Linked DNA regions of Lepisosteus oculatus. The protein of the gene in region 1 interacts with the protein of each later gene in a pairwise test. Links are inferred from orthologs where the notes say so. Each region holds a gene or a part of one and is shown on either strand. Other genes may lie near its edges.

Region 1 (7,839 bases):
GAATTCTTCACTTGTACCTGCTCGATTTCCCACACTCAGCTGTAGTGTTATGGGTCAAGTCTGTCATCAGGACACTAAGTGGTATTCCTAATGCTATGATTAAGTTAAAAGGGTAGAGCTCAAGCAAGAAATACTACAGAACCAGAAACATCTTTCTCTTGTTGCTTCTGTACATAAGAGTATTTGCAAAATGACTTCCCATGCCACAGTCCATATTTTAAGGACTAGGACACCAGCAATACTAACTTGAATACCAATTTATGTTTGAACCATGCAGCCACCATTTTGTATTAATATAGGAAAACTGACAAGTATAAATCAGCTGATGGCAGTAAAGCATGTAGTTTAATAGGTCTAAAAAAATTGCTTCTCCAGATCCGGAGAAACAGGCCCTTCCAGTTTTGACATCAAATAAAGGTTTTTGCAGTTTCTCCAATCAGAGCCAACCATACAAGAAAAGGCAGTGAGATTAAACATTATAGAGGCGAGAAGGGACCGCTGGAGAAGTGGATAGTCTGCTGACCCTGATGGGGATTCAAGTAACCCAATAGAAGGTCCTTAACTTCCAGCTCAGACTAGCTGTAACTTTACCAAATAAACAAAAAAAACTTGGGAGTTGAAAACATTACAGAGCCTCCAGGTCTGATGCCAAAACAAGGACATTCTGAAGATCAAATGGATAGGACTAAGAATAAACACTTCATGTTATTAAACTTCAGTCAATGACAGAAACTCATTTTGATTTGCTATAAGTTGGTTTGCAAAAAAGCCAACTTACACTAAATCAGCAGTATGAAGTTAGTGATACTGCGCTAAACACCAGCATAACCAAGGCAGACTAAGTGTTTGAGCATCTGTTGACTACAACTGATGTAATAGGTTTTAGGTTTCATTCCAAAGCCATGATTAAATCCGTATTAATTAATTCCTTAACATGGTCTCCATGTTAGCAGCTGCACAAAACGTCCATCACAATGTACCAACATAAAAACTGTTGCGAGACAATGAAAGACAGAGAGCCTTTACAGAGGTGGCCTTGTGTGTACACCCAAAAGGAGATATATAAAATACAAAGCTGATTTAAGGAGAAAGTACAATTCATACAAAACAGCTCATCTCAGTAACACCATTTTAAAACACCTTATAGCTACTGTCATAACAATGGACTTCTAATGATGTTCTATGGGAATCTACATTTTCTCGTATCAGACAACCAGTGAGGACTTACCAGTCCATATTTATATCCCTGTATCGAATGCATCTTGAGAAGCCAAACCAGTCTGTGACACTAAAGGAAAATGCCTACCTCAATAGTAACAGATGACATCCATATGGGAAAGGTCACCCCCAATCAACAGGGATCGTCTTACACATCCCTTATACCGTTCGTCTTGCCCACAGGCCTTCTGGCTGTTTCTGGTGTTGTGTTATAATACTGGGGGAAACTTATCCTCACCTTTCCAACTTTACACCAGACAGCCAGAACTGGTAACCCACGAGATTCACATCCAGACCACGCTTAATATGCACTGAGTGCCTAAAAAGCATACAGGCGCTGCAAAGGACCATTGTTGGACACAAACAAACCCACCCGTCGTGACTCCTCTTCCAAACGAGAATCTGGGGGAAAACAGAACCTGCAATTTGCTCTACACGTTTTTTTTCCGCTAAATAAAGCATACCAGCCTCCCAGATCTTACAACTGCACACGTTATATAACGCATACTCTGTTTCGTTTTGATTTACACATCAACATCTATTTTTTTACACCCCCACCTCTTCCACTACGTTACGTGTGGTGGTGAACAGGATTTACTGCTACACAAGCCTCTTCGTGTTACGTTTTAACCGCTCGGAAGCGAATGTCGCCTGAAGAACAATGCACCCTCAAGAGAAAGGTCCTCCTGTTTGATGTTTCTCACTTCAGGTTCGACTGGGAAATTGATCAAAATACCGAAATTCGGATAAAAAAAGGACCATCCTCGGTTCGGAACTCCTTTGTGAACCCAGAACGCCGCACGGTGTATGTGCTCTAGCTACACAATGTAACAGTTAACATCTATGGTTAAGCAGTAACTAACCACTGGTAAAGAAAAGTATGCAGATCACAAAACAGCGTTTGAATTGGGGGGATTTGCGTACAAAAAAAACGAGCAAAAATACGTTTGTTTTGTTCCGGCTTGCGATGGCTGTGGAAACCCGAAGGTTCAAAATGCCAAGAAGCCAAGTGTCAATTTCTGTTTAACATAACAAAGGGATCTTCCAATTAGGTACAAAAACCCGAGATAGCATTGTGTACGGCGCCGTTTCCAACACTAAAAGGTAATATAAATGAGCGGCAGGCACGATTCACTAACCGAAGCCCTTGTCAGAGAAGTTGTTGGAATGAATTTGTTTCGGGTTTATTTTTAAATAGGAGCACTCCCGTCTAGTAACAAGGGGGTTGAGATACAAAGAGCTCGATTAGTTACACATCGCTTCACCTTATTTAGTACAAGGTATCCTAGATTCTGTGAAAAGGAACAGGATACAGCTAAGTTACTTGGACACATTTATACTACGAAGCAGATAATGCAAATACGGCACAGTAACAAGAAGTGCTCGTCACAGTTTAAGGGGAATGTTACCTTCTACTACTACAATTCACTCAAATTGCAGACCGTTTTCATAAATGTCATAACACAAGCACCCGTGTTCTTACACAAATGAGCCCAACTTACCTTCGTCCTGTCCAAAAAATAACTGTAGTTAAATTTCAATCTACAGAATCAATTTAGTCCACTTACCCAGATAAATGTCTCCAAAAGATCCACTTCCAATTTTCCTACCCAGTCTGTATCTGTTTCCAACTCTCAGTTCCATGGCTTTAATTCTTATATAAAAATGTAAACAGGAGTAATTTTCTTAATCAAACCCCCGGAAGGTTCGATTTAAGCCCCTAATAATATCCGAAACCTTCAATATTTCCTCTATATCTGCCCTTTTCACCACTCTCCCCCTTCCTTCCAATTTTTAATAATATTGTTCCTTCTGTCACAATCCAATTTTCACCATTCCTTTTCTACCTCCCCGATTTTCCAAATACACCAATATGGGGCTTATCTGAAAGCTTGAAATGTGTAGATTATGTTCTTGTTGTTTCGGATGGCATCCCTCTTAACGGTGGAGAGGATGGAGACGGATTTTAATGGCTATCTTCTCTAGCTTAAAATACTGACTACCTCTGCTAACCCCCTCCTTCTGTGTGAAACAGTCTGCCATAGTCCTGTGACATCACTTCCCCTAGCAACAGTGGAGAGGGGGAGGGGATTGGGTAGGGTCTGAAACAAAAACAAGTATAACGATGGATTGATTCAACCTTCTTAGTTTCTTTTGTCCAGCTTTCAAAATAGCGTAAAATAATATGCGGCTGTTTTTTTTTCCAAAAGCAATCTCTACAATAATAAGCTTCATAGGTTATTAGTAGATAACATGGACAGGACAAGATGTTCTCAAAAGACATTGGGCTATTCAGTGGGAAAAAGTTAATTCCTCATGACTACAAATATACATTTGTATTTTCAGTTGTATATGAAGCATGCGAAATGGTTTTAATCCTTTCATTGTGACAATAATTTAATTTAAAAAACATCAGTAAATATAAAATAAATACTGAATATGTCTGAAACCATTGCTAAATAGACACATAGAACATATATCCTTCCTGTTACATAGCTATACTTTTCCTTTAGAGCCTTAGTTCTATAAGCAAGAATTCCAGTTGAGTGACTATGATTAAATGTGTTGTAAATAGACAGAAGAGCAATGTGCCCCGTAAAAGACAAAGATAAACACACAGAACAATTGTTTTATATGTAAATTCTTGTAATATTGTACAGTATGTTGCTTCTTCCTGAAACAACAAAACAGTTATCACCTCATGTTTTTGAAACCATAGGCTCTGTGTCTGAAGCTAGAACAATTATTAAAGAAAGATGATACAAACATTTGTATTTATGTTTCTAACAGGGCCAAAAATCGTGCATTTTTAATTCACTGCTTTTCTTCCATCTTGTTCTCAAAGTTGCTCTGTTCCATGAGCACCGTGCACCTATCCTTGTTGTTTACACAGCTTCCAGTATTGTTCCAACTGGTTGCCAAACTTGTTTCTGTGGTAACATGTCTTCTCTTCAGTCTTCCTGTTTACACTTCAAAAAGCGTAAAAAAATTCAACTCATCTGTCCTTTGCCTGAAACAACAGGAAGTGATAAATGCAACCTTTTTTTTTCAAATTGTTTGTATTTTCTTATAGGGCTGGAATGTAATTATTTTAGTTGGACATCATAAAACATAAATGTATTGGTATCAACTAAAGACAGTCAACATTTTTCTCCAAAAGGCGTCCTTACATTACTATAATTGCAGTCAAACAAAATTATACTGCATCAAAAAGGAAGGTTCTGAAATATTTGATCTTAACCTTTTTTGACAGTACAATATGCTTTAGTAACAAACTTCAGTTTCTGTGAAACAGCAAGTCTTATTTTTATAGTCTATGAGTAAATGGATCTGTTCTATGTTTATCACATTTTTCATACAACTGTTTTCAGAAATCACTCAAAAAACTCATCTGCCTTTGACTAAGGGCCCACTGAGTACTGTAGCAGTTTATTGCTGACCTTTCCTTTCTTTCCTCCTTTAGGCCTTCTAAAAAGGCTTGTTCTTTTTTAGAAGTGTTATTGCTTGTTGAACTGTTCTTATTTTATAAAAATATAATTTCTAGGTTTACTGAAGATATCCTTGAGAGCAAGATATTTATTTCCGCTAAGACCATCCTCTATAAACCTTGCTAATCCATAAATCTTCTGAGTTATGGATTGGTACCATTTATTTAAAATGTATTTATTACACAAGTACACAGAATTTAGCTACATTTTGCTAACATAAACAAGAATACAAAAAATCCTAGAAGAAATGTCTTTGACAAGTATAACGTACCAAGGAAGATTACATTTAATAAATTAGTGTTTAATCTTGCTTCAGATACTGGGTTCTAAAGCAATCTTAAATAGTATCTGATTATAATAATGAAAGTCTGAACATACTATATCCCATCACATTTTAAAATCTCTTGATTTATTTAGATTTTTTAAAAATGTAAATAGGTGTGCTTACATCAAAATATAAAGAGCATATACAGTATATGGGGCAACCATTTTTTCTGAAGGCAAGACAAGAAATGATATTTTTTAGAATCCACAGATTTTAGGATATGTCCAAAATTTCATATAAGTTTTCCTCAACTTGTATTTTTGATTTTATAAAAATAATCTCCATAAGTCAAGTAGAAATATTTTATCTATGCATTTTCCAGACCGCCAAGAATATTATAACAGATTAAGGATGTCTTTGGCCTGCTCTTTTGCAGTGTTTTTACATTTTTACCACCCTACGTTTTACATTATTGATTCATTCATCAAATACTTCTGAGCTTCTGAGCTAATATGTTTTGACTAGAAAAATGTAAGGCCATGGATTTTTTTTACAAAGCTATCTGATGAATCCTTTCTGAAGATTTTTTGTGCATAAAAATATTTCAGATTGTTTCACAACTGTGACATCAACTCACTTATTTGGGTTTATTGTTTCTACATTTGACATTTTCCTTTACAAGGATGCACTTTGAAAAAAATGAAACACATCTTTTGAAAAACCAATGATTCAGCGTCTGTTTTCATGGCTTGCCATTTTAGAAAGTGAAAGTGTTTATGGGATTGGTACATCTAACTATAAACTTTGATTTCAAATGATCCCTAAAACATTCTTAAATTCAGAATACTCAGACAGGAGAGCTTATTAATTAGTTAAATATTTCTACAACCAGAAACCTAAAGATTATATCATGTTGGATAGATGGTCTTGTGGAGGTGTGCACTTTGATGGCACAGGGATGCTGCTCTTTATTAATTGGACAAAACAAACCTTGAAAACACTGAAAACATCTCTCTGAAAGAAGCTGTAGACACATTCAAATGAAGTGTCATGAATGATTTGATCCCTAAGTAATTTCAGATGACAGATTGTGCAGCTGTAGGATAATATGTATTTTTGTCTGTAATGCAAATCTGTTTTTCCCCCTGCATTAAGATCAATGTTCTAAAAGTATTTATTTAGTGTCATTTCAAATTATTTTAACCAAAATGGAACATGGTGTAACATGGTGAAAGTGATGAGGAACATTTTGTACAGTTTGTGCTTAACTCATGGTTCACTAAACTGATACCATGATGGTACGTTTCAAAATTCTTGGAAGAACTTAAAGTCTGCCAGTAATGCCAGGTGTTAATTTGAGATAGATATCAGTATCAGTTCTCATTGTGAATACAATCAGTGTCAAATCTCCTGTATACTATAAAATGTGTTTTGCATTCATGTAGAATTAAGAAAAACGTAATATATTGATTTAAAAGGCACAAGGTGTGGATTGCTCCTTTTATCGTGTAGCTGTTATTACATTGAAATTATTATTATAGTTATTAATGTTGTGCAGTTTGCTTGGCATTTTATGGGATTAGAGAACAAGTTCCACTTCCAGACTCTTGTACATGCTTATGTAAAAGGGTTCATTTGGTGTGACTCTGTTACAATCACATAACCCGCTGGAGCTTAAAAGGTGTTGCAATCCTCATGAGCTCATCTCAAGAGCCTGTTTAGGGTGCATTTTTAACTACAGCTCTCAACAGGCACTATACACACTGTTAACTGTATTGTAGCATTCCTGTATTGGTACCCATTCTAAACTGGTTAATATTTTGGGTAAAATAAGTCTCATATTCAGGGTCTTATCATTTTATAGTTTGTCTACTAGGTGTTGTTACAGCAATTGTTTTGGTACAATCGTCAGCAAGCTACTGCTGAGTAAATTGTTACTTTGACCATATTAAAGGTATTACAGTATGTAGAATTTTCATTCTTGGTTGGTTGCAATAATTTTGATTCTTGTATTATAAAGATTATATACATCATATACTGCAGACAACATACTAAAGACATTGTACAGATGACCATACAACACTATAATGGTATTTGTCAAATGAATTAATCAAAGGTGAATTTCAACATTTTCTTTTTTCAAATTACACGTTAGTTTCTCCAACATACAGATATAGATAAAGACAGGTTTGATAACTACAAACTACTATGCTGTTACCAAAGTGTATTTTTCTCATGTTAAGCTACAGCAACAACATCTGGTTTAAACAGCTTTTATGAATATTTTTGTTCACAGGGGAATATGACAGGCTTGGATAATTATAAACAGAGCACATATCCATGTATGTATCTCCTATTCAGTGGAAAAAAAACACCAAATATTGTTTTTTCCCTCAGATAGGTTAGCAGAGATCAAAATCACAGTTTAAAAAGGTGACCTCACATTAAGGTTTTATGGTGCAGACTTACCTGTGAGACTAACTTAAAACTGCTGTTTTGCCCATAACTTAGTACCTGTGTGAAAGACCAAAACATGGTGGCTGATAGAGATAAGGACAATTGTGGATGGGCTACATCAGCCTCGTAATGTTTGTCCTCCATCAAACTGTCTTCTGTCTGGCACACCACTAAACTAAGCAGTCTTCAAGCAAAAACTCAGAGATCATATAAACAAAGACTGCGAAATCTGCTCCTTGCACTTGGATGGCTTCAGATTAAAAAAATAAATTCTGATGATAGCATCTACTGTAAGCAGGCTACACAAATGTAGTTTGGGATGCTTTCAGACATCCTTCAAATAAAGTACAAAATATTTTAATTCCCTGTTGAACAAACAGATGAATATGAAAGGCTAGATTTAAGGAACAA
Region 2 (7,758 bases), on another chromosome or scaffold:
CATGATGGGACTCCCAACAGGTGGTTCACACGTTTAATTTTGCTGTTTGTTTTCTTCTGTATGCTTGATGTGTTTACAGTGTGTCAGTGGAAAAGTATAATATCTAAGGTCAGCAAAGTCCAATAATTTTACATTCTAGAACAGGCTAATATGATCTGCATGCAAACCCCTGTTTTTTTAATTCCATTTGTGACTCCAAAAGATCATCTTATGAATTGAGTGAAGATTCTGCTCTTCGTCAGTTTTTCCAGTCAAACCAAACAGTTAGACTCATGAAATGAGCCTTTTCCTATCAAGCTGCCCTTCAGTAACACTTACATCTTCAGCTTTCCCCCCACCAGCAGATACAGGCAGCAGATAAGCTTCAATATGAAGTTCAATACAATCTAAAAACTGAATGCAACATCTATAATAAGTACTTTCCGCATGGTATTGTATTCAAATAATTGAAGATAGTTTAGCCTTGGCTTTTCAATACAAAAAAAAAACTTTCCTTCAAGTAGCAGCAGATCAGGACAGAGTGTGAAGCAGCATTTAAGTCCCTTAAATCTCAACTTGAAGGCTGTGGGTTCAAATCTTGGGTCTACCCCTTGAGCAAGGAGCTTGTCTTAAATTGCTTCAGTAAAATGCTCTGCTATATGAATGTGGACAGATTTGGTCTCATCCATTTAAGCTAATTATAATAATTCCACTTTCCCTTTAAACTAATAAAAATGTAATGAAGTTTGATTAAACCGAGAACTGCATTTGATCTTGTGCTACTACAACATGTGGAGGACTTCAACTTGTCTTATATTATATGAATTATTTATAAAAGCATGATTGAAAATTAAGGGCAGATATAAAACCCCTCTCATTTGATATGCAAATTAAAAGCCACCCAAGTATACAATCCACAGTATACTAAAACTGGACATTCATCAACAAACGACCTACACGAAACATGTTCATATCATTTTTATTTCTGATATTAATCACATTTCTACCTGGATATACAACCTTAAATGAATATGAAGATTCAACTTGTTTTGCAATCACAATAAATTATACATGTTTAAAAGGAGAAAATACAAACGTACCCTTTTCACTTTACCAAGATCGGGTAAACTGTAATGAACTTTGTAAAACTAGCTAGATAGAACCAGCTGTACTCAATATGCTTCAGCAGTTCTCCTTTATCATGCAATTAGGGTTCAAAGATTTATTTGCCTGGCACAGAGGCTGTTCAGAAAATTATAGATAAGGAGGGTTTTAAAACCTGATAGAAAATGAAGATTGATTTCAAGGTTGGGAAATCATTTCATTTCGAGTTTCATTATTCCCAGATAATAAACTTAAACCTTTTTTGTAATTCTGACAATTGATCATCTAAATCCATAGATGTACAGTAGTATCCACAGGTAGCCCACACACCCACAAAAATGTTACATCAATAAAGAAATATGGAAATATGCTGTAACACAACCAAACCATCTCAAAAACAATGAACATAATGTTTAAAATTCCTTACAACTCAGATATCCATGCAACAGGTCTGACTGGCAACTCAGCATACTGTATACAATATAGAGGCACAGCTCAGTAAAGCCAGCTTAAGGTATTTAGGGCATATAATGTAGGAGAAACTATCATGCTGTATGTCTAATAACCTGTTTTCAGTGGGACAATGGGCTGTAGGGATATCGCATGAAGCAGACCAATGCAGCTAACCCTTAACAATCTCTTAAAACCGGCATATTCAATAAACGGACTAATAAATATTAAGGAGTGTATATTTGTGTCATCTAACATGTCGAGACAAACAAGGGTGAAAACGGAACGAAAGCAGAATATATCGCAAACAAAAAACTGCGAAATCTCTGTCAGTTGATTTGGAATGGTTGCACATTCAGGATTACACAGCTTTGTTGAATTACACCCACGCATAAGGCATTAGTTCGCTTTCCATTTGAAAATTAGGAAGAAAAAAAAAAGATTTTCTCCCTATCACGCGTCTAGTCAGCAACTGGCTACACTAGCCTACATCCTCCTGTCGCAACTGACCCAGATAGCGCCACCAAAAACTTGCTCTTAAATACCCCAACCCTTACAGAGAGCACACTGCACAGGTATACCCCAGACGAGTCATTTCACACACCAAACTATATATTACTGTATCAGTCGAATGAGCGAATTAACTTGTTAACAGGGGTATTCGTTCTAATCGGAAATGCAATAATGGTAGAAACGATGTCGTCATTTTAAGTGCAAGAATAACACTATATTACAATCAAAATACTTTTTATTTACAGCCTATGAGCCTCCATGGGTCACGAAAATATATCACTTCAAACGAATACAAGTATACTGGTCGCCACACTGGAGTGGACCTAATATCCTGGCTATGATAGTAAACCGGCTTGATATGATACCGAGTGAAGCTCTGAAAGCATCTTTTTCCAGCTCCATGTTAGTTTTCCCCCTTTCAATCTTTAATATATATGACCCATCATTAAGAAATAAGATGTGATAATAAATACTTGCCTTCTTCACTTAAAAACGACAAGCTCACGACCGGCAGGGTCTGCACTGACTGTAGCAAAGTTGCACGGCTGGTAACTGGATCAGCGAGGTCAAACCCGAGAGACAGGACTGCAGATAAACTCTCTGAGCGCCTGCAGCTCTGTCAGCCTCCGCGATGAGGCAACTTACTCGCGTCCCCCAGCTCTTTCCGTGCAGGAAAATGAACCAACACGACTATGTACAGTAGGCAGGGCAGGTGCTGTCAAGCAAGTGCTACTCCAGTGACCCACCGCAATCCCAGAGGAGGAAAAAAACGTTGACCCACCGGTGGTACGCTTACATAACAGACCCCCTATTTAAAATAAAAAAAATTAAGTCGCTAAATAAATCAGCGCGGCGAACAATTCTCATCTGAGAGAATGCAATACATGCAATAACAGACTGGGAAGAGCAGGCAAACTTTAGAGCACCGAATCACTCTTCATTTCATTCAAGCTAACAGAATCTCCAATCCAAAAGCGTGTCACCCATTCCCTAGTGTTACACAACCAGCTAGCGGGCGGTCTAGCACAGTAACACGGATAACTCTTCAGCCGCAAGAGCACATAAGCAAAGACAAACCTTGCGCGTAAAAAAAACGGGGCTCAGCTCGTTGCTCTCGTTGCTCTCCTGTGTTTGGTTTTACGGCAGGTAGCCTCCCGTTTGTGTCCTCAGGAACATTTGCTGCGCTCCAGTTTCTGAGTCTCGCTCGGCTCCACAGCTGCCCCGAAAACCTGGAGTGGCAAACGTGACCTCAATACGGGCTCCGCCCCGGCTCGGCGCCCATTGGCTCCCAGCCCCGGGTTTCCATGGCAAATAGTAGGCGATGAAGTCAGAGGACGCCAATTGGCTCGACGCGCCGCCAATCTATTTATGTAAGGCTGTCATAAGACTCACATGGAAAACCATGTTTGCAGGCAATGTGGGCGATTTCGTAGTAGTGTAAGCCCTGTGCTAACTGAATGAACGCTGCTGCTGGAAGGAGAGGGTTTGGTATTGGATGGTGAAATTTCGTTGATTGTTATCTAAACTATTATACAACTATTTTTTTGTGTGTGTGTTTCGCTGGCATTCCCTTTACTAAACACGTAATAGTCTGGGGGTGAACCTTTCTAAACTGCCCTGTGGTGCAGTTTTTTCCAAGAGGGCACGCATGCAGAATTATGTAAGTGATTACGGCATTTGTCAACTTGCACGTCTGGATGATGTTGCGTAGAGACATTTGTCGGCTGGCACTTACCTTTTTAATGTTATGAAATAGCGTGGTGGAGACACTATGAAATTCATGCATACAGCAGTACAACAGACTTCTGATCAATCAGTGTTTATTTATCAGATGCACAACAACCAATAACCATTTTCTTTCCTTACCAGATAAATGAATTTGTTTGAATAAAGTTTAAGCATGTATAAAAAGAAGGTCTACACAATGCAGTTCCTTCACAAATCGTTGATAATTGTATAATAATTCTATGGATTACTCGTGCAGATACTCCGTTTGTTTTGTTTGTTTTTTGGTTCTGGGATTGTGTGGTTGTTGCAGATACCGCACCTATGGTATGTGTCCATGCGATTTTGGGGTTTGTTTTGTTGTCAGTCCTGGTGACTGTTGTGTAACGCCAGCGACACCTGCTCCGTGGTCTCATGCTGTCCGTGTGGACGCGGTTTCTTCACGAAACCCGGTTCGGGTTCTGAGGTAACAGGAAGGAACGCGTGCACGTGCTGAAATTCAGTGTGTTCCACTGATATAATTCTGCATCGGGGCTTAAATGGCGAAACCATCCCACATTTTTGCTAAATATCTTCTGGGGATGAGGCATTGTCCTGTACTGTATATAAAATATACATTTACATTATTAGATAGAGGTTGTTGCGTCGAGGGACGAAAACCGTTACTATAAGACTTCTATTAATCCCACGTTAAATAGCTTTTTATGATGAAACAGGGCTACTGCCGTATATCATTTTTGGACCAGATCAGTCATGAGTGAAAGCGCTACGCTGTGTTGACAGGGATGCTGTTTTAATTGAATCATTACACAATCACAAAGATCTATGTTTTCCCATTACATAAGGCGACACTGCGGGCCACATTGTGATATGGAGCTACATTTTTATTAAAACACCTGCAAATCAGACGGTATTTTTGAGGCACGGCTTATCTCAGCACTTTTCACGTGGATTGTGCTAGTCTTTCTCTTTTATACGATTCGCTATTCGATAAAAGCGTTAGAACCGCCAAAGCGGCAGAATAAAATGTATTAAGTTCTAAGCAGAAAACAGAAAAGTCGTTTACTACATTTAGAATATTGTCATTTAACTACTGCTAAGAGGAAAACGTCCTCCTATGTGCTTTAGTCTAGAAAGTAGTACAGCAGAGTTAGTAGAGCAGTAGTACCCCTTTTGGGTGGGGCATGTGTAATTTTTATAACATTTTATAAGTGCTTTAGTGTCATGGGGGAGCCAGAACCTATTCTGGCAAAGCCATGGACACAAAGCAGGATACACTCTGGATGGGGAACCAGTCCAATTGCAGGGCACAGGAAGTTACCATATGACTCTGGACTGTGGAAGAAAACCAGGGCACCCAGATGAAACCCACACATACATGGGGAGAACATACAAACTCCATCCACACAGCATCCCAGGACCTGAACCCAGGGCCCCAGCGCTACAAGGCAGGAACGCTAACAGCTGAGCCACCATACTGCCCCATAATGTTATATATCCCTTAAAATTCAGATTCTACACTTCAGTGTACAGTTCTTACATTTCAGTGAAAGTATCCTTCTGTAATGTGCGGTAACATCTTTTATGTATTTTTAAATGATTGTCTTTTGAGGCCCAGTGTGTGGGACAGGAGTGGGTCATGTTCATGTGTTTATTACCACAATGGCAAAAACATTTTTGTTACAGGCTTGCACTCAAGGAGCACCAACATTTCAATTCAAAATACTTTATTCATCCTCACAGGAGCAATTTAAGTGCAAAGTTTTTTAATGCCCTAGTTGTACTGACTATTTTTCTCTACTATAATTATTGTAAAAACTGCAGTTATATAGTGTGGGCCAGTTATGAAAAATAACATCCCTAAAATTTTAAAACAATGTGACAGTTGTTAGATTTGACTTCTTTTTACACTGTGGATGTCCAGACAGTGTCAAAGAAGGATGTAGTGAACATGGGTCTGAGAATCCATCTAGGTTGCAAGCATGTTACACTCACTACTGAAATGTCAGTCCCTCTCACAAGCCTCTTGCTGGATACCTAGGTAACGTGTGGGCGGTTATAATCCACCACCAAATCAGGTATAGAAGTGAGAAATTACTTCACCGATTGAATTGAGAAGACTGGACTTTGGCCAGGGCACCGAGAGAACAACTCTTTCTGACAGTGCTGTCAGGTCTTGACTGGGCAAGCAATCAGGATCACAGGTTAGAGGCACATCCGAAGGAAGGAACCTCTTGCAGTCCAACGGTCCTTGTTTCCATATTTGAGGAACAGATTGGAATTCCCAGCGTAAGGGTAAGAGTGACCCCTAATGGTCCACCCAATAAATATACTTGTGCATCAGCTTGAAATTCCTATGCTGTGAACATTTCACAAGCTCCCTGTCAGAGGACTTTAACCTGCTAATTTATAAGGCACTGAACAGTCTAGCTCCAGATTATCCTAAGGAGATAGTTTATACATGGGTTCATACTTCATGCATGAATGTAGTCCAATTCCCATTCTTAGTCACTACCAAAGCCCAATTTCCTCATAATCAGGCAACAGATCTTTTTGTGTATAACACCATATCCACAACTATTTGTTTTCCTCAAGCCCAGTTACTATTGATTTTGTTTTTTTAGCATCAGGTTTTGAGTGTTTGAGTTTTACTGTGCTCTCTTTCTCAGTTGTTTACTTCTGTTACATGTATTTTATTTTTGCGTTATATTACAGTACATTTGTTTTGTGATATTTGCTTGCACATCAAATTGTATTCAAATTGAAACAACTGCATTCGCTTTAACATGTGGGCACAGTACCAATAAACTCTATAAATGTTTAAATCTACCATGCAACAAGATATAAAGTATGCACTGTAAGAATTGTCACTGTTGCAACAATCAAAATAAAAGTTTTTATCAAAGAAAATTGAACCGTGCATTTTCCAGGAGGAAAATTAAGGAATTGGGAGCGACCTTAAGATGACTTCCAGAATTGGCACATACACTGTATCATTGGTTAACACAAGGAAATGCTGGAGAGACAAATGACGTAAAACTTCCATTTGCTAAAAAAAAATCTTGGCAAGTATTCCACTAGAAAGGAATGTCTCTGGGTACTTGGGCTTACACATAAAAAATGTTTTAAAGTAACAGCAGGATGTCTGGTGGAAAAGTCTTACTCTGACTAAGAATTAAATTATTTTAGTGATACAGCCTGAGACAGTTAATCCTTTAAAACATAATTCATCATAAAGGAGGTTTTGTTCCATGAAACCTTACAGTACAGTAGGTATATTCTTAATACCTGATATACCTGAATTAACATTATAAGCCCAACTTCACCACAGATTGGAAAAGTAAACTAAAACAGCTGTACATTTTGGAAAGTTTCATTCATGCCCTTTTCCGAATTTATGCCTCAGTAGGTTTCAGTCGTATGGAAACATTCGTAAGAATCACTGGAGAATTACCTTGGAAAAATTCAAAGTGAAATCCTTTTGAACCTTTGATGAAGTTGTAAGTGATCTATGCAGGTGCTATTTGGATTACTTCTTTGATATGGACACAGTGGTTAATTCTTACAAAAGATAAATATAGTGAATGTCATTTCCATACGAGCTATGGCAGAAATACCAGTGTACAGTCCAAACATTAATTGCACCATTGAAATTTCAACAGCTGAACAATTTAAATAAACTTTTAAGTATTTTGACATTACACTTTACAAGTTACATTACTAAGACGACATGTGAATATACAGTAAATAAAAAGAGTACTGAAGAAGCATTTTTATAGCACGGAAAAAAATCCATATTCACAAAACTGTTTTTATTACTATCTTCTAAGGTTACATGAATATCTAATAAAGAGCTGAATGTTGTTTGTGTTAAAGAGAGTTGGAACACATAATTGCTAGCTAAAGGAAGCTTTTTAAAATGTCTTGCTAATATTATTTTATTGTAAGTGTTTTTATCACAAGCACCAAATTTGCTTGGACCAGAAA

What was found.
Region 2: the proteins of csnk1db (region 1) and per2 interact in binary tests that used the Homo sapiens proteins (3 or more experiments, as listed by UniProt). The link is inferred for Lepisosteus oculatus from reciprocal best matches to the Homo sapiens genes CSNK1D and PER2.

Annotation. Positions count from the first base shown.
Region 1 is NC_090704.1:39,443,136-39,450,974, reverse strand, and holds the start of csnk1db (casein kinase I), read right to left. Parts: upstream 3,269-7,839; 5' UTR 2,863-3,268; coding exon 2,787-2,862; intron 1-2,786. UniProt on the Homo sapiens protein: Essential serine/threonine-protein kinase that regulates diverse cellular growth and survival processes including Wnt signaling, DNA repair and circadian rhythms. It can phosphorylate a large number of proteins.
Region 2 is NC_090708.1:8,122,556-8,130,313, reverse strand, and holds the start of per2 (period circadian protein homolog 2), read right to left. Parts: upstream 3,300-7,758; 5' UTR 3,124-3,299; intron 2,767-3,123; exon of another isoform or gene 2,524-2,766; intron 1-2,523. UniProt on the Homo sapiens protein: Transcriptional repressor which forms a core component of the circadian clock.